4 linked regions of the Caenorhabditis elegans genome follow. The protein of the gene in region 3 purifies or fractionates together with the protein of the main gene of each other region. This does not show direct contact. Each region holds a gene or a part of one and is shown on either strand. Other genes may lie near its edges. The genes, in order: tofu-5, tofu-4, prde-1 and npp-9.

Region 1 (4,524 bases), on a different chromosome or scaffold from region 3:
TCAGGAAATTCTGGCAAACAGAGCAGCTGATCGCGTTTTCGCTTATCGGGAGACAAAATATCGAGTTGGAACTGCAGCAGATATGCTTGGAACAGCAACTGGAGGAGCAACTGATTGGATTAAAAAGAATACTCCGACAAAATATGTCTATGTACTGGAATTGCCACCTGATATGAAAAGTAAGAATTCGTTTAGATCTTCCATGAAAACTAGAATAACATTCAATTTCAGCTTGGTTCGCATTCCAAGTCAAACCACATTGGCTTATTCCAATTGGAAAAGAGACATGGCTTGGAATTGAAGTAATATTCGATCAGGTAGTTGAGGAAACCAAGAACTTTCAACCGACTGAACCAACTACAAACGGAACATCAGCAGACAGTAGATCTCCTCGATTCAGACAGCTATAACAAACAAATCAACACGTGTCTTTGGACGACGACGAACTTGTCAAGAAGCGGGTTTCTACCATTTTTGTCTTTGTTAGACTTGAAATCAATAAACTTAATAACAATGTATTAAATACCAGTGAAACGACCGGATGATATGACAGGATATAACAAAAAATTAATAAAAATTTCAATTGGACGATGTAGATGGCTGGTTGTCCTTCGTAAAGTTGATTAATTCGACTTCAGATGCAACTTCAGGGATCGCATGAAAACGGGTACGGAGTGGATCCACGAACAGTTGAACTGCCGCCATAACGTTCGGAGGATAGTCTTGCTCACAGAAGCGGTAATTGCCTTGTTGACATTCACTGAAAATACCGGCAAGAATAGATTTCTCAGTATCTGGAGTTGTCGTAGCTTCGGTTTCGATAGTGTCTAGTACTTTGGAGACAACTGCCGCTTCTGAAAATAAAACTGTAGCGCTGGTTAAGTTCCCTCAGAGTTAGAATTATTCTGGGTTTACTGACCAAGTTCATTGAGCGCTGGCATTTGCTCTTCCAATGTGGCACATGCTTTCATGAATCTGTAAATGACTGGCCATCTTATATTTTGAGAGTCAGTTCTTGTAGCTTTTGCGGTGAGAAGTTTGGTCACCACCGCATTTTCGTGAGTTTTAGATTCTAGAGCGAGATTCTCGAAGAGTGTCTGAAAATTTGAGCATTTTTCAATTGCTGACTAATAAAATATAAAACCTCATAAGTATCTCTAAGAGAAGGTAGGGTCTTGTTGATTGATCCATGATGATGATCGACTATTTTTCCCATGATACTGCTCCAGTCGTCATTTGGATCCACTTGGCAAAATGGTGGAGGAGTGATATTATGATGTCCTGCTTCGATCCATTTATTTTTGTAACACTCAGGGAGAATAATCTCTTTGTGTTCCTTGATAATCTCTCGAATCTCGTCAATTTTCGCCCTGAAAAAGAATAATGATTAAATGTTGAACATATATTTTAAAAACTTACTTTATCTCTTCGATAGATCGTTTTTTTACAATGTTTCGGTGAATATAGTTTATGGCTTCAATTTTGGTACCATACTTCATCACTCCATCCAATAAACTTCTCAAGTCGTCACTGGACCAATTGCCACCATTGAAGCTGCGACCTTCTGCGAGAATCTACAAAATTTTACATTTTTAAATAGTTTATTTTATTAGAAAACTGACTCTGTCCAGTGGTGATGGTTCTTCGGTTACAGTATGGTTTGCGACTTCAAAAGCCATAGAGCTACCGGGAATTTCATTTGTGGGATCGCCGTCGGTTTCCATGGCTAAAATTTGAGTTTTAAGTTAAGTTTAATGTGCGAAAAAAAATAATTATGGCCTCGATTTAGGAAAGAATTGAAGAAAATTGAATTGAGGAAAATTCCTTTCGCTTTGAAATGTGATGTAGATTTACGATAAACAAGGCGCTGTTGCGAAATATCGGAGTGTCGTTTGAACCAGTTGTTCAGAACTTTTTATTTTATTTTTCTTAATTTCCGTCTTGTTTTCCGATTTTGTTTATTAATATTTTAATTCCAGGTTGAACCAAAATGAAGTTGGCATTAAGACTTCTTCGACCAGCTGCCAACCAAAATATTAAATCTCCGAAACTGTGGCAGGATCCAGTGCTTGGATATTTTGAGACTCACGGTAAAACTTTTATTTTATCGATTTATTTTTCATAATTTACTGTTAACTTGTAAAATAATAATTGTTCTGTATAGGAAAGACCGAATTTCTGCCAGGACATGAATACAATCTGAGCGACGAGGAGAAGAAAGCAGTTTTGTGGAGGTAATACGAAAAACGCTTTTTGCTTAAAAGTTTTTAAAAAAATTCTAAAAACAGTGAGAAACATAGTTTTAATTATATTCTCAATTTAAAATTATTTAATTCTATTGAAAAATCAATATATGATAACATTTGCGTTGATGAACACTTATTTCAAGTGATTTATTAGCAATAGAGACAAAAAAAAACAGTTTCTTGATATAATTTACAGAGTATCAAATCAAAAATTGCTTTAAAAAAACTGTTGCGATAAAATTGGATATTAAACACTGAATTAACATAAATTCAGTTTTTAATATCCAACTTTATGATAAAAAAACTACATTTTATTTTTAAAAAATTACTTTCAGATATCGTGTCAAGGAGATTTTGAAGAAGGAATATCTCCGTCGTGAATACGATCCTCATAGCTTCAAGTACAAGGAGGGAGTCACCATGGATCCAGCAATGTTCCGTTGGTATTCTGCTGATATGACTCAAGCCGAGTTCTTCCGTTTCACACCACGCACCGTATTCCTGTACGTCGGAACCGTTTTCGCTCTCTTCTACATTTACACTCGTCTTATGTTTGTCCCAATGGACAAGTCGAATGAAGCATGTTTGGATGGAAAGCTTCTTTGGTGGGATCGTCAACAAGGAAGAACTCTACAAACCGGAGGATCCGGTCTCTTTGCTCCAACCATCGGAATCGACTTCTAATCGTCTCGATCTATCTGTTTTCTTAAATTTACTTTTAGATCCGAATGTAAGCAACTTTTTCTCGATTTTTGTTTTTTTTTAGCTGTGTCGTTATCCTCGTCAAATAAAATTCAGATTTTATTAATGTAAACACTCGTAAATTTATATAAAATAACATTGATGCCTGATGAATTAGATTCCGTAAAAATATGTGTGGAACAGACATCACAGAGAAAAAGAATGAGAAATTTGTGCCTGACTTTCGAGAGAGTTCAAGGGAATTTTTAAGAGAAAAATGGGAGCTGAAACCGTACAATCGGGACGTGTAATTTATAAAATAATATAATAATGTGAAAATCAATAATATCTGCCTGACTGCATTATATCGAGCTCTTTTTTGTGATTTTGTCTTCGAATCACTAGTGCTGTGGAGACAACTGTTAATGATACAATTGTGATAAGAATAAGGGGAAGAACTGGAAGAAGTAGTCGTGGAACACAGAATGGAGAAGGAGCAAGGAGCCCACGATCTGCTGGATCAAGTACAAGAAGTTCTGATGTTGCTACGTCGATCTAAATATTTTATTGTTTTCATGTTAGGAGGATTAAAAAAATATATAATCCGGAAACAATCTATGATTACCTCATAATCAGACCGATCAGCTTCTCTTTTTGTTCGATTTCCATCACCACTTGCTTCACTCAGCAATTTCTTGACTCCACAGTTTGGTGGCTGAAAATCAAAAATAAGTATTTGCTTCAACAATCTTCGAACTCTATTACCGTAACTTCCTGGCACATTCCCATTTGTTTCTGACACAATCTTATCTGACAAGTGAAATATAATTGATTTGAGTCTGCATATTTGAAAACTTGACTTGATGCATGAGCTCGCATAAGTGAAGCATCGTAAGACAGCTCACTGAGCAAGAATGGATCAGTTGCACAGCCATCAAAGTCAACAACAGCATGATCTTCTCCGTCTCCATCTGTTACAAAACACTTTTTGACAAGCATTCCCATATCAGCCGGTGTACATTCCCATACATGAAATACAATATCTCCGACATTGGCATATGTTAAAGTTGGACCATTTGGACCATCACGACGAACTGAATACTCGCATTTTGGCATTACCATACTGTCAGATAGTTCAGTCGTTGGGATCATACTGAAAATTAATTTTTTTGATTATTTTTTTAATTATTTGTGTTTGAAAATTCAAATATCATCAATGCTCCGAAATACGCAAAAAGTTCAATTTGGCAATTTGCAAGAACATAGACTTGAAAAAAAAATTTAAGAGTTTCCGATAATCTTATCTGGTGAGTTCAAAGATTTTTCACCCTCAAATACTAAACACTGAAAAGTATAGAATCTCAATGTAAAATTATTGAAATAAAATGTTAAAACTTCAGTATCTTTTTCTTAATACATATTACTGATTTAAAATTAAACTTGCAGTTCCTATCAGTGTTGCACTCAAAATGAAAAACTGAAAAATAATTATTGAACGCAATAGTTGAAATGAGGCATATTAAAATAAACGATTACCTACCTAACATCAATATTCTGAGTAACAATCTCATCTGGTTCCATATAGAAACATTTAACA
Region 2 (4,638 bases), on a different chromosome or scaffold from region 3:
TATTCTGAAAAGGTATCGTAATTTCACAAGATTTTGACATGCCTACTTGAAGGCGCACGGATTAATTCAAATGGGTCTCGGCGCGCAAAAGTTTATGGTAGGCTTTTTGCGGCTCTTTTAATTTTTAACAGAAAAATGACAAAATTCGCTATATATGTAATAATTTCATCGAAAATGCAAGGAAGACAGCGGCGAAAATTTAAAAAAAACCACCATAAACTTTTGCGGGTCGAGACCCATCTGAAGAAACATATGCGCCTTTAAGAAGGCATGTGAATAAATACACGACATGTCGCGACATAACGAGAACACAAAATTCTGAGAATGCGTATTGCGCAAAATATCTCGTAGCAAAAACTACAGTAATTCTCTAAATTATTACTGTAGTGCTTGTGTCGATTTATGGGCTCGAATTTCGAAATGAATTTCTGTTCGAATTGTGACAGCGATTTCAACTTTCTTTACAATTAGTTTTTTCGTATCATTAGTTTTTTTGATTTTTTGCTCAATTTCAATATCTATAAATAATTTATTTCAAAACTCGGGCCCGTAAATCGGCACAATCACTACAGTAGTCATTTAAAGAATTACTGTAGTTTTCGCGACGAGATATTTTGCGCTTCAAATATGTTGCGCGTTTCTCAGAACTTTGTGTTTCCGTAATAACTAAAAATGCAATGAAACCACTGAAGAAGTTAAATCTTCAATTTTTCAGAACTATTTTCCCCTGCCTAACAAAAACCGATCCGATCTTGACAACGGATGTATTCAAGCGTCACAGTCAACCGACTGATATTTAATAACTTATTTCTTCCATCTCCATTAATGTTTTGTATCAAATTTTTCTGGTCGCTCCCAAGAATCTCATCGCTATTTTTCTATGAAACTTGATTTTCAAAATTTAAAAAAAGTTTTATTAAAAAAAAAAACATCTTACTAGAAAAGAAACAAAGAACGTATATAAAGTGTCGAACGATTGCGAAAAAGCTAAATATTACAGAAAATGTTTGGTCAAATACGGGAAAAAACGATAGATTATATTCTCACGATATAAATAAATTTGAGATTTGAGATTCTCAAACAACAGCTAGATGCTCTAAAATTTGAAACAAACAGAGAATAATTAAAACAATAATGTGACTCGGATAAAAATTCTTTTAGAATTCTGCGTCTACCATCAGATAGTCGAAGTCTTCTTCCTCCTTTATGGTTCCCTCGTCGCATTGACTAGTCAGGTCAGGAAGGCTGTACTGATCAATAGTCGACGGCTGCTCCGATGTACTTTCCACGTTTGTGTAGTCGATTGGAACATCTACATGTCCGAGCGATTTCTGCTTAATCCTTTCGCGAATTTCCTTCATCAGTTTGGAGTCTCTTTCCTGCTTTTTTGAATTTGCGACATTATTCAGGAACTTGATGGAAGACTCGTGAGCATTGAATGTGGATTGGAAGAAGACGAGATGGCTGAAAAATATTCTTAATCAATATATATGGTTTTAAAATACTCACGTAAATGGTTCCTGCCATAATAATTCGTCCGGATATTTGATGTCGTTCTTGTCAATAAATCCTGAATGTTGATTTTGAATTGAAGATCGACTGTATCCATGAACGGACTTTGGAGCACTGAAAACATAATATTTATTCATGATATTTCTCTTAACAATTACTTGTAGCTCGCGATCTTCTCCGAAAAAGGGTTCATATTTAGTTCGACGGCCTGTGCCACTTGCTCTTTAGAGTTTCTTGTTTGGTAGAAAGAAAATGAATGCGAAATAATATCCGCTTCATCCTCATCGGAATTGATTTCGTCTCTTTTTGTTGATCTGATTCCGATACCCATCCTTCTCATTGCTTTCCAATCGACTTCAGGATCGTCTTGTTTGATGTCACTTGTCAAAGACTGAAAAATTATTGCAAATATTTAAATTATAAATTCTTACACACCTTCAGAGTCAATCCTTGCTCAGCAAAAGTGTCACAGGTGTAATCATCTGCAAGTTCCAGGTCCGGTCTCTTGATGCGACGTCTTTTAGGGACTCCTTGAGGTCTGGTCTGCAAGAAATCATTTCTAAATTTCAACAACTAGCATTAAAATCCCACCATTTTTCTTCTATACAGTCGCCTTCTTCGTTGCTTCGGCATCGCTTGTGGTTCGTACTCACAAACCACGTCTTCAGTGTCTGAGACTTCCCCATCTAACGCTTTCTTTTTCTTTTTGAGAATCCTGTCGTTCTTCAACCCACGAGCAATTTTCTGCTCTAATTCTCGGACAATCTTAAAGAAGTTAAATCGATAAAAATTTTTTAAAAGGCAGCATACGCGTTCATCCGGTCGCTCGCCTTCGGAACTTTCTGCAGCATCCACCATCGAACTCTTGTGAGTCTCCACAACGTATTCATCATCACTCTCCTCGTCGCTGCTGCTACTGTGATCATCGTCGTATTCATTTTCTGAAAAACTCTTGTTGTCAGTGCCATCTGCCGATGCGGGCGGTACTTCGATCTCCAACGGATCCTCTACAATTTCTGTTTCAGGAATTCGTGATTTCTTCTCGGGCTGGTTCACTCCCGAAGATTCCGCATTTGCTCTTTTTGATGCGCTTCTCGTCGTCGGTTTCATCTGAAATTAATGTCTCATTATTAAATATAGAAGCTTAAAAACACAATAAATGAATAAGTAAAAAACGTTTATTTAAATTTTAAGTGCTTTCATCTGTTCTTTGCACATTTCAAAGCGGTTTCTAGACTCAAAATACATAGAGATATGCTCAGATTTTAATAAACTACAATTTTAAAACTTCAAAATATGAGAAATTCTCTTGAAAGTGCATTTTAAGTAGAAAATGAACGGAAAAAAATTGAAATATAAAAGAAAAAACTTAAAGGTGCATGACATTTCTTCCATGGGTCTCGACACGAGAACACAACATGTTGACCTGAGTTACGGTAAACTTCGGTTGAAATTAGTTATTTTATGTCAAATTATTCATTTATTTTTCAGTTTTTTCTCATTTTCAATTAGTTTTTAATTAAAAAAAATGTTTTAAAATATTTTAAGTGTCAAAATGGACGAAAGCTTCGACTCTTCTGTTGTCCCTGGCTCTCTGACGAGTGATGACAGGGTGAGTAGATTTGACAGAGTTTTTTTTGTCGAGAAAACGAAAATTTTCAGGCTATATTCAACGAGCAAACATTGAAAAATGGTGATGAAAATTCGAAAAGCTCTCTTGAAGTGATGGCCAACTGCGTTTATCTTGCAAACTCAACAATTCTCCGTGAACGGAAAGTTATTCCTGCGGAATACTTCCAGGATTTTCAAGTTTATGGTGAGGTTTTATCTATCTGACTTGCAATTAAGCATGAATTATTTTATAGGAGATGTCAGCGGATATACTTTGCGACAAGACATTCCAGAAGGACGGAGTGTGTCTTCGAAGCTTTTGGCGTCTCATGACGCGATCCGTCAGAAACTCCTTCAGGTACAGTTTTACTCTCGTAAGTGGTAAAAATTCATTGTTTGCAGAAACTCGCTATTGTCGTTGAAGAGTCACTAAACACGAATCCCGTGGAAACGTTTGTCTGGACCTTTGTCTATGACTCAACCACATCTGCAAGTGCCGAAATCGGATACGGAGGGTTAGATCATTTATCTAAATATAAATTTCACTGACTCTTTTCCAGGCGTAAATCTAAATTTGTGGTGAATTATTTAAACATGGATGATACTGCTCAACAGTTTTGCAAGATGTTCAGCGAGCTTAGAAATGTTCTAAGCCTGCTCCGTCCGCTACCAAGAGGCCTCATTCCATCGATGAAAGTAGCATACAGAGGAGGTAAGGTTAAAAATATTTAATTTAAATCATAAATAAATTATTGTTTTAGAACCGGAATTCGTTCCCGGATTTCAACAAGTCGACGATTTTGTGAATCCTGAGCAGATCAATCTTGGTGCTGTTAGTTTTCCTCACGGCAATGGGTTTGTTCGTCATTTCAATCATCAAATTCTTAATTAAATTGATTCAGATTTCAATTCGCATATGCCTCGAAATTCATGGTTGAACAGCCTTCAGCCATTCGTCCACCAGTGGAAGTTTCTCATTTTGAAGATGATTTGCTCAACTCAACGATCACACCGATCGAAGTTGTTCGAGATAACACAATGAATTGTGCTGAGAATCCTGAACTTGACGAAATCTATTTTTCACCAGGTGCGTTTTGTCGAGAAAAAAAATTAATTTTCTAATGTTTATAGGTCGTCAAGAAGTACGTATGGACGAAGATGTGGCAAACGAATCAATTCGTTGTAATCCAAGTATGGCCAGTGAAATGATGGTTCTGCAGTCCGAATATAATGTATTGATTGCTGATAATGATGAAGTTCCAATGGTTGTTGAAAGGGAACGTTCTCCAATAGTGAAAGCTGCAAAGAAACGTTCAACGAGAGCTCCCGCTGTCCCGATAACTCCAACGGAACCGGCTTCTCCCGTGGAGTCCCCGGTGAAAGAGCAACCTCAAAAAGCGCCAAAAGCTCAGATGAGACGTTCCAGTAAACGCACCACGAAGAACAATGAACGATGCGAACAGAAAGAAGAAGAACCAATAGTGAACCCAAAAAGGGTAATTATTTTTATTGTTA
Region 3 (5,707 bases):
ATTTTATATGAAAAACTCAATTTTTCATGAATAATTGGACATTTTCACGGAAAGTTTTTTTTCTCAATTTTTCAACAAAAAAAATTACATTTTTGTGAAAAATTCAATTTTAAACGAAAAAAAACTATTTTTTTCTCTCAAAAAATCCATTTTTGGCAATTCTCGCTAATTTGGCCAATTTTCCGCAAAAAATTGAATCCCAAATCGTACCGTATTCTCCAGTTTCCGGTCCCAATCGAGCATTACATCCCGCCAATGAAGAGCCCAAGCCGGTCGTCCGCTGCACACAATTTTGTAGAAATCGTCAATGATTCCACGATAATTCACCTGAAAAATACGAAATTTTAGCTCAAAAATTCCAGAAAATATCGATTTACAGTCGAAATTTGTGCTCCAGCACGTGGACCCTTTGGACACCATGCTCCACCACGAACCGGCAGTTTTTCAAGCTTTTCTTGCTCTTCTTTTGCCACTTTCAGATGTTTTGCAAAGTTTCGGAGTCTGAAAATTGACATTTTTACCGTTAAAAAAAAACTGCTAAAATGGAAAATGCTGCAGGAAAATTCAATTTTTCGGAAAAATTGCTTAAAATCTAAATATTTCAGGTAATCATTTACTATATATAAAGCGCTTATTCCGTTTGTCCATAGTTTGTAGTCTATGTAGTCTTTGTATTCTGTGACGTTTTGGCTTCTGGAGGATAGTGAGTTGGGCTTAGTGTAGGGATATAGTCGGGGTACTGTAGTGGTACAATAGTGGTACGGTAGGAGTACTGTATGATTACGGTAGTTTCAGAAAAATTAGTTTTCAGCCCCAGAAGTCGGGGGCTGCGCCGAAGGTGCGGTCCACGGCTGGTTTACAATAAATTTTTATTTTTTTAAGTGAAAAATTGCTTTTAAAAAAAGTGATTTTTTATGTAAATTGCAAGAAAAATATTTTTTAGAAGAACAAATGCTGAAAATCTGGATTTTTGGGTGAATTTCTAAAAAAATTGATTTTTCGTGAAAAAAAAAAGGGTGAATTAGTTTTTTTCCATAAAAAAATGCTGAAAATTGAAACCTTTCGGGTTATTTTGAAGAAAATTGTATTCTTTTTTTGTGAAAAATCGCTGAAAATCGGGGTTTTTTGGGTGAATTTTCATAAAAATTAGATTTTTTTTCGATGAAAAATAGCTGAAAATCGGGGCTTTTCGGGATAATTTCAGGAAAATATTTTATTTTTTGAGTGAAAAAAATTAGAAGACGATTTTTTATAAAAATTGCAAGAAAAATGATTTTTAGTATTTAGGAAAAATGCTAAAATTCTGGATTTTTGGGATAATTATTTGTTTTGTGTTTAGGTGAAAATTGCTATCAATCGAGATTTTTTGTGTAAATTGCAAGAAATCTACTTTTTTCTACTTTTTTTGGTGAAAAATCACTGAAAATTTGAATTTTTTGAATAATTAGCAAGAAAATGATTTTTTAAATGAAAAATAGCTAAAAATCGTGATTTTTTAAAAATGTAATTAGCAAAAATCATTCTTAAAGGAAGAAAAATCACTGAAAATCCCGATTTTTTGGATGAATTTCCATGAAAATCTCATTTTTTTGCTAAATTTTCCAAAATCCATACGCGATATCGAACCAAACATCAACATCAATTTGCTGCTCGACTTTATTCGTTTCTTCCGGCTCTTTTTGCAAATTTTCAATGAACAATTCCTTCATTTCCATAATTCTTTCTCTGGATTTCGACGATTTCCACGGCAATTTTCCATGTGTCCAATCGTAGAGCACATAGAGCATCATTTCCATCATATCCAATTCAGTCATTCGATGAGATTGATCTCGATCGACAAAAGAGCGCGGCGCGTAGATCAAATCTCCGGTTTTCCAATGCAAATCTATAGATTCGGCTGTTCTGAGATGAATCTCGTCGATGGCACGGTGACGTTTGTCAGAGGAGACGGTGATCTGCAAATTTTTGGAATTTTAGTATGAGAAAAATCGATTTTTAACGAGAATCTGGGGTTTTAAATGCATAAATTGTTTATTTTAAGAGTCTGAAACCGAAATTTCTTCCAAGAAATCAAAAATTTGATTAATAAAAAAATAAAATCGAAAAAATAAACTCGAATTTCGACTGAAAATTGCGATTTTTAGTTTTTTTCAGTAGAAATTGTTTTTTTTTGACGAAGTATATGTTTTTAATAATTTTTCTAAAGAAACTCGCTGTTTTGCGGAGTTTTTGAAACCAACAATGTTGATTTTCAGACGATTCTGGGACTTTTATTCATTTTTCCCAAAAATTTCAAATTTTTATGGGGTTATTCAAGTAATGTAGCAAAATGTATTTAAATACATTTGTGACGTCACAAATGTATTTAAATACATGTTTTTATCTACTTGAATAAGGTTGTGACGTAATTTTTCTACACTTTTTAATTTTCCGACACTACTTGAATAACCCCATTAGGTAAAAATTGCTGGAAATTGAGATTTTTCGGGCAAATTTCAAGAAAAATAACTGAAAATTGGTTTTTTGTGGATTTACCGAGAAAATACGTTTTTTATGTGAAAACATTGCTAAAAATCACAGATTTTTGTATAATACGAAGAAAATACGCTTTTTCGGTGAAAATTGCTGAAAATTTAGATTTTTCGGGCGAATTTCAGGAAAATTACTGAAAATCGGGGTTTCTTGTTGTATAAATCCAAAAAATTAAGTTTTTTATGTGAAAACATTGCTAAAAATCGGCGATTTTTGTACAATTCCAAGAAAATACGCTTTTCAGGTGAAAAAATGCTGGAAATCGAGATTTTTTAGGTGAATTTTTAAGAAAATTGGTTTTTTCGTGTAATTCCGAAAAAATGCGTTTTCTAGGTGAAAAGTTGCTGAAAATCGCGATTTTTCTTGCAATTTTTTAGTGGAAATTGTTATTTTAAAAGCGGAAACATAGTCCGTACATCAGTAGCATCGGCCAAATAAAACTGCCTCGTTTTGATATCCAACATCCATTGTTTCGAGTCGAAATTTCTCAAAACCCATCCGGAAGCTGACAGAATTTCGATAGCAGAAATCATGTCGACAGCGAGGAAACTGGCAGTAGTTACGGACATTTTATCACTGCTCAGACATTTTAAAAGATCATGTAAAGTGGGTCCTGCACGGATTCTGACGACCATGAAGAAGACGTGATTATTTATGATTCCGGCATCAATTAAAGCGGAAAATCGATGAGAATAGCCAAGTGACGATTGCTGATGATAGAAATCTACTTGATTCGCGATGGTTGTCACGTTGTCCTCGCCGATTTCCAAGTAAAGAATCCCCTGAAAATTCGAATAATAATTTTTTTTTTACTTTTTTTTTTTTTAAATTTAATTTTTTTTAATAACTCACAAATTTCTTGCACGGCTTGTCACACACAAGATAACAATACGCGGCTCCTCGTTTCTCCTTTTTCTCCAAAATAATCCATTTACCATTAAAAAGCTTTTGCTCCTTCAGACCTGCCAAGTCCTCATCGGTGAATCGATGCTCAATGTTTTCTAAATCGTGTCCTTTGCGATTTCTGTTCATTTTTTACCTGAAAAGTTGATAAACTCACAAGAAAAATGGTGAAAAACAAGTAAATTTAGGCAGGAAAAACGAAAATTTAAATATTTAAATTTAAAATTCGCTGCCATCGAGAAAAGCGCAAGCAACACGAGAAACGCGCTAGCAGTGGTAGCTGACGCAACTTTCGTTATTGACGATTAATTTCAAAAACATGTTTTAAAACAATTAAAAATGATTTATTTTGAGGAAAAAACACACAAAAAAAATGCTTTTGAAGAAAAAAACATAAAAATTAAGAGCTTTCCTCGGTCAAACTGGAGAAAGAAGCCACCAAATTGGCGTTTTCATCTAAAATCTGCCGTTTCTTCCCAGTTTTCTTCAACAACATTTCAAGCTCTTCCAGCATCTTCTTCTGCTCCTGCTCCATTCGTTTCTCCTCTTCAACACGTTCGCCAAGCGATTTGCGTTGCTCTTTGAGCATTTCCACAACTTTTTCGATTTCAGCGCTTTTATCATTCCAATATTCGCATTTCTCCTCCTCTCTGTCACAATCCAGCTTCAAATCTTTGAGTTGTTGCTGAAAATGTTTCAATATTGCTTTAAACATTTTCAGATTTATTAATAAAAACCTTGTGCAAGTGGCGACGATAGTCGATTTCCTCCCGCATTCTCTGAACAATCACTCGCTTTTCCGCGAGTAAATCCAGACTTTCTTGAATTTCAGCAGAAAGTGTCGCGGATATTTCCATCGTTGTGCCCATCTTAGCCTTTTTCAGCTTCACCTGAACAAAAAATTGCATATAATATTAGTTTTCGCCATATCTTACGCGCATGGTCTCGTCACGCGGACAAAAGGTTACTTTTCATTGTGATAATTCACGGGTCGCTATTACAAAAACACTAAATGCTGAGAATGCGTATTATGCAACATATCTGACGGGCAAAGTATCTCGTAGCGAAAACTACAGTAATTCTTTAAATGACTACTGTAGCACGGATGTCGATTTACGGGCTTTTTTTTATTTTCGGAAACATTTCTCGGAAAATTCGGAAGTTTTTTTTGATTTTCAGAATCGGACCAGCGCTACAGTAGTCATTTAACGAATTACTGTAGTTTTCGCTACGGGATATTTTGCGCGTCAGATACGTTGCGCAATACCCATTCTCAAAATTTAGTGGTTCTTTTTATAGGTTAGTGCCCGTAAATCGACACGAGTTACAGTACCTCGTTCACAGCGTGGTGAGACCCACATAATTTTTTGACGACTATGTAATACCTCATTCATCATCTCCGACAAATGCTGAGCCCAGGCGGTGACGCGACACGAGATGTCCGATTCGCGACGTCTCGCCTTATCCACGCGATCCCAAAGTTCGGTGACCTGCGACTGAACGACATCGATCCGATTGCTCAGTTGCAGCTTCTTCTCCATTTCCAGCTCGAGCTTGTGCTCCAGAAGGCGACAACATTCGTCGACATCGTGCTCGTATTCGGCGACCGATTCGCTCTGAAAAAAAATCACTTGAACTTTTTCCGAATAGAAATTTCGCGCGGAACCCACCGTAATCGACGTTGTCAGGGTCAACTTCTCGCGAATCACTTTGATATCCATTTATCGATTGATTTTTCGGAGAAAAATATTCGGAAATAAATTCAAATGTCGAATAGGTTCCACATTTGCCACGAGAAATTTGAATTCTATGGAATATTTTAAAATCAAAATTTTGAATGTTCACGCTGGTAATTAATTGATTTAATAAAAGTATAAAACTTGATTTTCAAGCTCTCTGATCCGTGTACTCCCCGAGGAGAAGTTTTTTTTTGGAAAAATTCTGGCTCTGCTCCTATGAGTCATGCCTCTCATCCGAAAAAAATTCGACAAAATAAACCGACATTAGTACCACGTCATTGACTTCGTTCTTGAGTTGGCTCATTTTAAGGAGCATTTGAAAGAAATCGTCCTCAATTTTGGGGCGATGTGTGGCCGCGACAAGGGATAACTCGGCCACGTGCATTTTTTCGAATTTCAAATTCCCAAGATGTTCAAATTCTCACTATATTGACGAAAGATCCTTCTGTACTTTTCTGAAAAAAAAAATCTTCAACCTGTCTAGACTGACTAACCGGATTATGTTTTGACCTCTTACAATTTGGAATTAATCC
Region 4 (6,818 bases), on a different chromosome or scaffold from region 3:
GCATTTTTTTTCTAAAAATAAAACATTTCCAAAGAATTCTGTATTTTATGGTCTAGAAATTCGAGTAAAACTGGCTTTAGAGCTTAAATATTCGAAAAATTATTATTTGAGGGGGCGGGACTTATTTGTCTGACACGGTTTTTCCGCAACCCTACCGCACTTGCGGGTTTTTTCTTTTTTTTGGTTTTTCAGTGTTTTAAAGCCTAACTTGTTAAGAAAAAACTTTTTTTTTGCAGTATTTCTACGGAACCCGTGCCAACAATCTCTACCCATTCACATTTGACGTCAGCTTCGATGACGTCACTCTTTGTAAAATCGGAGCCGAGCAACTGCCCGATTCATGTCTACCATTCGGAATGGAAGTTGAAAATCATGAGACAAAGCTGGTTATCATGGAGCCCAGTGCCGACATTAAACATCATTTGTTCGCGTTCTCGCGGAGCACGAAAGCCGACGAAAATGTGCTGAAATCGCCGGTTTTTGGATTTTGTCTTGTCACGGAGGTTGGTATTTCGTCGAGTTTTTGGGTCTCGAACGGAAATTTCAATTTTATCCAAATTTCAGGTTGATTTGGAGAAGCGAACAATGTCAATTCTCTGCCCACAGCGTACAATTCCATCGAAAGTTCTCGTCTTCTCAGATATCACCCATCTTGATGATCAAATAAAACGATAATTTATTTCTTTTTTTTCCTAATCCCTATTTATTTGTTTCCCGCCCTCAAAATAAATCTCATTCTTCAATGCATTCACAATTTATTGGATTGTCACCAGTGGGGAAAAATCGATGCCGGGACAATGTGAACAATATAGTTAAGTTTTAAAGACAAAAATTATGAATGATAGTGTGTGGGGGGTACTTATGAGAACAATGGGATTTTGAGAGAGATGGGGGGGAAATAAGGAAATTATTTTTTTAAAAACCTTACCAGACAAATATAAACTACACTTAAAGGACTATAGATGACAGCAGATGGGGATGAATAAAACTAGGTTCATAAATAAAATTGGTGGTGGGGAATACTAACACAGAGTGCTGGGTGGGGAGGAATAACAATAATAAAATAATTTAAATAATCAGCAGAGGATTACATCTTCGATTGAGCATCCTGAACAGCCGTCTTGAATGCTCCGGCGGTCGCCTCGTCCTTGAATTTGGCGGTGAAGATGGCTGGATCAGCGTTGGAGGCGTCTTCTGAGAAGTCCTGAAAAATAAGGAATTTATAGTACATTTTTATATAAAAAGAAATTAAAAATTGCTACCTGGCACATAAATGTGAGCACATTTGGCAAGTTTGGCTTCGGACTGAGCTTCATCGACTTTTCGATACGGAAATTGGCACAGAGCTTATGGACTTGCTCACGACGCATCACGATTCGATATTTGTTGTCATTGCTTTTCAGGAGCTGAAATAATAAATTATTTTTCTCAAATTTAGCCTCTATGAGTCAAAAATCAGTTGTTTTCTTAATAGTTTTCATTAAAATTTAGTGAAAAAACATAGAAAATACTTGCAAAACAGTTGAAAAGTGCGCAAAACTAGCACTTTTCTTAACTGTTTCAACTGAAATAAGTTATTTTCTACGTTTTATCACTAAATTTTAATGAAAACTATCAAAAGAACATGCCAAGCTGGCTCATTTTGATATAAAATCCTAAATCTGACCTTAATATCTCCGAGTCCACGTTCCTTATTCTCCTTGAGATCCGAATAGTACTTATAAAGCTTGCATCTGGCGGAGAACATGACCTCCTCGTCCTCTTCACCAGTTTTCACCTCAACCAAATCCGGAAGAGGAATAACTGGCTTAAACTCGACTTCTGGCTCATACTCCCCATCTCCATCCTCATTCGTCTCATCACCATCGTGTGAAGTTGCAGAAGTCGTGTTCAACGTGGTGTTCTTGCTCCCGAAAATGCTTGCCTTCTTCTGAGCAGCAAGTTCTTCTTGGGCCTTCTTGACATTTGCTGCGTCGAAAATGGAGCCAGATTTGGCAGAGTTGGCTGAAAGGGCAGCGAATGTTGCACCTCCAGACGTGAATCCACTACCGAACACGGATTTTGGCGTCTCGGACTGTTTATTTTCTTCTTGTTTAGCTGGTGCAGTCGTTGATGGAGTCTGTTGCTTTCCGAATGAGAAAGTTGGCTTTGGGAAGGCACTTTCAGAATTCTTGGCGAACATAAACGACGGAGTAGTAGTTGAAGAAGCTGTAGATTCAGTCTTGGAGAGTCCACCTCCGAACAATGAATTTCCTGGAGTCGTAGAGGTTGCCGGAGAAGCAGTTGAAGCTGCAGGATTGTTGAAATTGAACGATGGGGTAGTTGCATTGACAGCGGCAGCTGGCTTGTTGAATGAGAAAGTTGGAGTATTAGCAGCACCTCCACCGAAAACGCTTGTTCCCTTTGGTGTTCCACCACCGAAAATGCTACTGCTAGTGCTTGGAGATCCGCTGAGTGATCCACCGAACTGAGATGTTTGAGCAAGAGGTTCCTTGGCTGGAGCAGATGCTCCGAATCCGAATGTCACTTTTGGAGTTCCTGGGGCAGGCTGGAGGATCGAAGGTCTGCAAATTTAAATTTTTAATTTTAAGATAACTCAAATAGAATATTTACTTAGAGAATATATTTTTCTCTTTGACAGATCCGTCTTTCGATGTCCCACAACAGGCACATTCAATCTCGTCAGCTTTGCAAGTAACATAGCATCCAGGGCATTCCCAAGATCCTGGTTTTGGCTTGAACTGATCTCCAAATCCAGTCTCTTCCGGTTTGTTGTTTGATGGAATCACAACTTCTTGCTTGACTTCCTTCTTCACCTCAGCCGCCGGCTTGATTTCCTTGTCGATGGTCTTTCCAGCGTTGCTCGATGATTTTGCCTCAGCGACAGCCTTCTCGAACAAAGTCTTAAACTCTCCAGCGATATCGACGTTAGCGAAACGAGCGGAAAGCTTCACGTGAGCTGGCTGATCTTCGGAAAAGTCCTCGCAGAACCATGTGTAGGCCTTCTCGTTGGATTTCATTTGTTGAATGGTCATCGAGCCGAGAATTGGGAAATTGGCACAGACTTTGAGAACCTGTAATTTATTTTAATGCTAAATTAAGGTATTTAAATTTAAATTAAGATCTTTCTGTTGAGGAAAACGCCGAAAAATGTGAAAAAAGCTGTAATTGGAATAACCTGAATATTCCAACACAATTCTTCGGTTCCATTCTCAATATTTGAAGGGAGTGTCTCCTCCGAAATGGTCACCTGGTCTCGTCGCATAACAACTCTCCACGACTTCTTGTCCTTGTTGTAGAGAACCTTCAGCTCGCCGGTTCCTCGCTCCTTCCATTCCTTCGTCTCGTTGGCATAAATGTAGAGTTTTGAACGATTGCAGAACATGGTTTGCTCTCCTTCTTCTCCAGTTTTCACCTCGACAAGATCTGGCAGTGGAATGACTGGCTTGAACTCGCCCTCTGGCTCGTAATCCTCATCATGTTCTTCGTCTTCATCATCTTTAGCTGCTGGAACCACGACTGGGGAAGCAGTTTCAGGCTTTTTACCGAAGATTGAAGTAGCTGGATTGGTCCCGCCGAATGAGAATCCGGTGGTGGCTGGCTTTGGAACAACTGCAGGCGTTGGAGTAGAGAATGTTGGCTTAGCAGGTGGAATTACAACTTCTGGTGGAGATGTCTGAAAAATATTGAATTTTTAATTGCTGGAACTAAAACCCGAAAATTTGTTACCTTTGGTGCAATAACTCCAGAAGCTGGAACTGTCGATTTTGCTTGTGCTGTAGTGGCGACCAGTGGCTGTGTAACGGGAATAGCTGGCTTCGCAGCATTGAGCAAATTAGCCATAACTTGGCTTTGGGCCTGTGCTTGGGCTTGAGCTTGAGCGTGAGCATGAGCTTGAGCTTGTGCTGCCTGCACATGAGCCATCTCCATTTGTCGCTGAAGAATCAACATTTGCTGTTGTTGCTGAAGCTGCTGTGGAGGAATCATTGAGCCGAGAGGATTCGCATCACGAGCAAGAAGAGTGTGTATAATTTGATGAAGTCTCTCGAGCTCTTTTCCGTGATTAGTGCTCAAATCGGACAACTGCTTCTGAAACCGATCCTCGGATCGACGAATATCATCGCGAAGCTGGGTGACGCCGGTCTGGTGCTCAATCTGTGAAAAATAAGTATTAAATTGAGTTTTTCATGAATCGCATACCTTCAACGAGTCCATGCTTTTGATAAGCGAGTCAAACTGCATTGTCATCAACTGCTGCACATCCACGACGCTGGCGACAATGCGCCCCATATTCTGAAATACCGTGAATCATGTTGAGCAACATTCGAAAAGATTCACTTACCGGCTTCTGATCGCTCATTGCGAAAGGAGAGCTGAAATATGAAAAATATCAGGTAAACAATTCAAGAGACTTCAAGCTAAAGCGAGATAAAAAGACGAATACTGCGGTCTCTTTAGTTGAAAATTAGCAGCAATACTTCAAAGAATTCGCGCCAGGGATTTGAATTTCGAAATTTCGCGCCAACGCTTTCCCTGCTTAAAATAGGGCTTTCCTACCTTTAAAACTAGTCTTTTCTGTATAAAATATGCTTTTAAACGCACAAAAAATGTTTTCCAGCTATTTTTCGTAAAAATACGGAAAAACTATGGCGAAACAGTCTAAAATAAATAGAAATTGGGCGCCAAGCTTCGCAAATTTCGAAAAAAGTTCAAATTCCTGCGCCGTGGCGAGACCCGTTGCGTAAATCGACACGCGCGCCTTTAACCATGAGTTGGCAATTATTCATGGAAAATACCGGTTTTTCAGGCGAAAAACAGGATTTTTGATATTTTCCGTCGTTTTTTATGGCTTTTTCGGTTTTTGAAATGTCAATTTTGCCTGGAATAGCATTTATTATTCACTTTTCTCAGCGAATTTATTGATTTTTCATCAGAAACTTTCAAAATTGTGTTTTTTAGTGATTACAACAACAAAATGGAAGTAGACACAAGCTCATCGTCATCTTCAGAGGACGAATGTGACCCAAGCTCTCCGAGCACGGCATATATCCACTCAGCGTGAGTTTTTCGCTAAAAAACACAAAAAACAAACTGTTTTTTAAATGTTTTTGTTTCAAAATTAACATTTTCTGAAGTTCTAACAGCAGTTTCTAATCCGATTAATTCCAGAAGCGTACGATTATCCGTCGGAACAGAAGAAGCGGCTCGAACCGTGGCAGATGTCATAAAAATCGATAAAGAGCCGAGAAGAAGTGGTGCTCGACGGGAAGTGTGCAGCGAAGGCGAATTTGTAGTCATGTAATAGTTTTTCTATTCGAATAACTAAATAAATAAGTTAATTTTCAGAAAAATCGAATCAAAAGATCCGAAATCATTGTCAAAATCCATTGCCAACGCTGTTGATATGATCGATTTGTCCGTGAAAACTATCAAACTTTGTGAAAATCTGGGAAAATCGAAGGAAAACGGATTGAAAAGAAAACTCTCAAACGGATCTCAGGCTTAATTTGATTAAAATTTGTTATTTTTTCTGTTTTTGTTTTTTGAAATGAATTTTTTTCAACTTTTCATGATTTTTTCTTCTTAAAAATATGGTTTTTAACCTTTAAAATACTTTTTTTTTCGATTTTATTGCAAATTCCCCACTAAAAAATCGATTTTTTCAGGTTTAAATGTTCAAAAACCTGAAAAACCGGCTGGATAATGAAGCCGGAAAGCTTAAACAATCAGCTCAGCAGTATGGAGAACAACTCGCCGCTCAAGTTGGACAATATCGGCAGGCGATGGTAAAAATCCACTGAAAACTGAGAAAAAATCGATAAAATTGCAGAATGAGCAGCCTGCTGGCAGTGATGCATCCGCGTCGATTTCTAAAAGATTCACCGGAGAATCAGGAGAAACTAAAGCTGAAAATCCAGCAAATACCTCTATTGTGAGAGTTTTAACATGAAAAATTCTCGAAAAATTGAATTTATCGTCGAAAAACTATTATTTTCCAACCATTTTCGTGAAAATTTCCGGAAAAATGGATTTTTACTGTTGAAAAACAATTTCTTGTGAGATTTAGTTCGGAATCCAAAAAATGTACCAAAAACAGCAGAAATATGCGAAACAAAGAGATTTTTAAATAAAAATCTATTTCCAGCAGCTGTGAGACCGTTAAAATGTACGAATTTTAAGGTTTTATTAAAATTTTTCGCCATTTTTTCGAAGTTTTGCATCAATTTAATTGCAAAAAAAATATATTTTTTCCGCATCTAAATCACATTTTTGTATGTTTTCCATGTTTTTTACAAGAAAACTCAAAAAATACCAAAAAATATTTTTTTTTTCATTGGGAAAAACCATTAAAAATCAGAGATTTCGTTGAAAATGGTCACATTTTTACGAAAATGATCGAAAATGACTTTTTTTGTCGAAAAATTTAAAAAAGAGGAAATCCTGTTTCTCTTAAAAAAGAATTTTAAAAATTCAGAGAATATCGAAAATTAAAAAATGTAGAAAATTGATACGAAAATTAAATTTTTTTAAATAAAATTATGTTTATAATTTTTTTCTGAAAAAGAAAAAAATGTCAAAATTTGAGCTATTTTTTTCCAAAAAAATCGGAAAAATAAAAATTCGGTTTTCCCGAAAATCGATAAATTCGCAAAAAAAAAAATTTTTTATGAGAAAATTTTTTTTCTTCTGAAAAATTAGAAAAATGTCTGAAATTTAAGCTATTTTCAGGAAAATAATGAAAAAACGTTTTTCAATTAAACACACAATTTTTATCAATAAAACAGGAAAAACATGTTATTTTCATCTAAAAATAAGAA

Evidence for each region.
Region 1: the proteins of prde-1 (region 3) and tofu-5 fractionate together in Caenorhabditis elegans (co-fractionation; one study listed by BioGRID). This does not show direct contact.
Region 2: the proteins of prde-1 (region 3) and tofu-4 purify together in Caenorhabditis elegans (affinity purification with mass spectrometry, with the first as the bait; one study listed by BioGRID). This does not show direct contact.
Region 4: the proteins of prde-1 (region 3) and npp-9 purify together in Caenorhabditis elegans (affinity purification with mass spectrometry, with the first as the bait; one study listed by BioGRID). This does not show direct contact.

The regions. Positions count from the first base shown.
Region 1 is NC_003279.8:7,066,642-7,071,165, reverse strand, and holds tofu-5 (Twenty One u-rna (21U-RNA) biogenesis Fouled Up), read right to left. Parts: upstream 1,727-4,524; 5' UTR 1,725-1,726; coding exon 1,623-1,724; intron 1,575-1,622; coding exon 1,420-1,574; intron 1,371-1,419; coding exon 1,145-1,370; intron 1,098-1,144; coding exon 920-1,097; intron 855-919; coding exon 580-854; 3' UTR 501-579; downstream 1-500. Other genes in the region: W01A8.6 (Peptidase M14 domain-containing protein), read left to right, coding at 5-179, 232-410; nuo-6 (NADH dehydrogenase [ubiquinone] 1 beta subcomplex subunit 4), read left to right, coding at 1,991-2,090, 2,165-2,234, 2,582-2,930; cutl-6 (ZP domain-containing protein), read right to left, coding at 3,267-3,482, 3,553-3,642, 3,693-4,080, 4,468-4,524.
Region 2 is NC_003279.8:4,824,012-4,828,649, forward strand, and holds tofu-4 (Twenty One u-rna (21U-RNA) biogenesis Fouled Up), read right to left. Parts: upstream 2,629-4,638; 5' UTR 2,623-2,628; coding exon 2,323-2,622; intron 2,278-2,322; coding exon 2,104-2,277; intron 2,056-2,103; coding exon 1,948-2,055; intron 1,904-1,947; coding exon 1,671-1,903; intron 1,627-1,670; coding exon 1,510-1,626; intron 1,465-1,509; coding exon 1,158-1,464; 3' UTR 893-1,157; downstream 1-892. Other genes in the region: F57C9.6 (G-protein coupled receptors family 1 profile domain-containing protein), read left to right, coding at 1-12, 716-800; htp-3 (HORMA domain-containing protein), read left to right, coding at 3,068-3,124, 3,175-3,328, 3,378-3,481, 3,526-3,638, 3,684-3,835, 3,885-3,978, 4,026-4,210, 4,255-4,619.
Region 3 is NC_003283.11:15,536,115-15,541,821, reverse strand, and holds the start of prde-1 (piRNA biogenesis factor prde-1), read right to left. Parts: upstream 3,579-5,707; 5' UTR 3,565-3,578; coding exon 3,385-3,564; intron 3,315-3,384; coding exon 2,949-3,314; intron 1,956-2,948; coding exon 1,615-1,955; intron 502-1,614; coding exon 378-501; intron 328-377; coding exon 211-327; intron 1-210. Other genes in the region: F21A3.4 (Trichohyalin-like), read right to left, coding at 3,836-4,120, 4,173-4,325, 4,821-5,051, 5,106-5,156. UniProt on the Caenorhabditis elegans protein: Nuclear factor required for the production of piwi-interacting RNA (piRNA) precursors. Specifically required for piRNAs produced from loci associated with the Ruby motif. Promotes binding of the transcription factor snpc-4 at piRNA genomic clusters.
Region 4 is NC_003281.10:3,399,904-3,406,721, forward strand, and holds npp-9 (Nuclear Pore complex Protein), read right to left. Parts: upstream 4,374-6,818; 5' UTR 4,361-4,373; coding exon 4,343-4,360; intron 4,294-4,342; coding exon 4,201-4,293; intron 4,156-4,200; coding exon 3,730-4,155; intron 3,677-3,729; coding exon 3,179-3,676; intron 3,075-3,178; coding exon 2,614-3,074; intron 2,565-2,613; coding exon 1,667-2,564; intron 1,407-1,666; coding exon 1,263-1,406; intron 1,205-1,262; coding exon 1,088-1,204; 3' UTR 741-1,087; downstream 1-740. Other genes in the region: Protein clpf-1, read left to right, coding at 237-503, 565-675; F59A2.5 (L antigen family member 3), read left to right, coding at 4,976-5,058, 5,170-5,298, 5,347-5,506; golg-4 (GRIP domain-containing protein), read left to right, coding at 5,673-5,786, 5,831-5,932.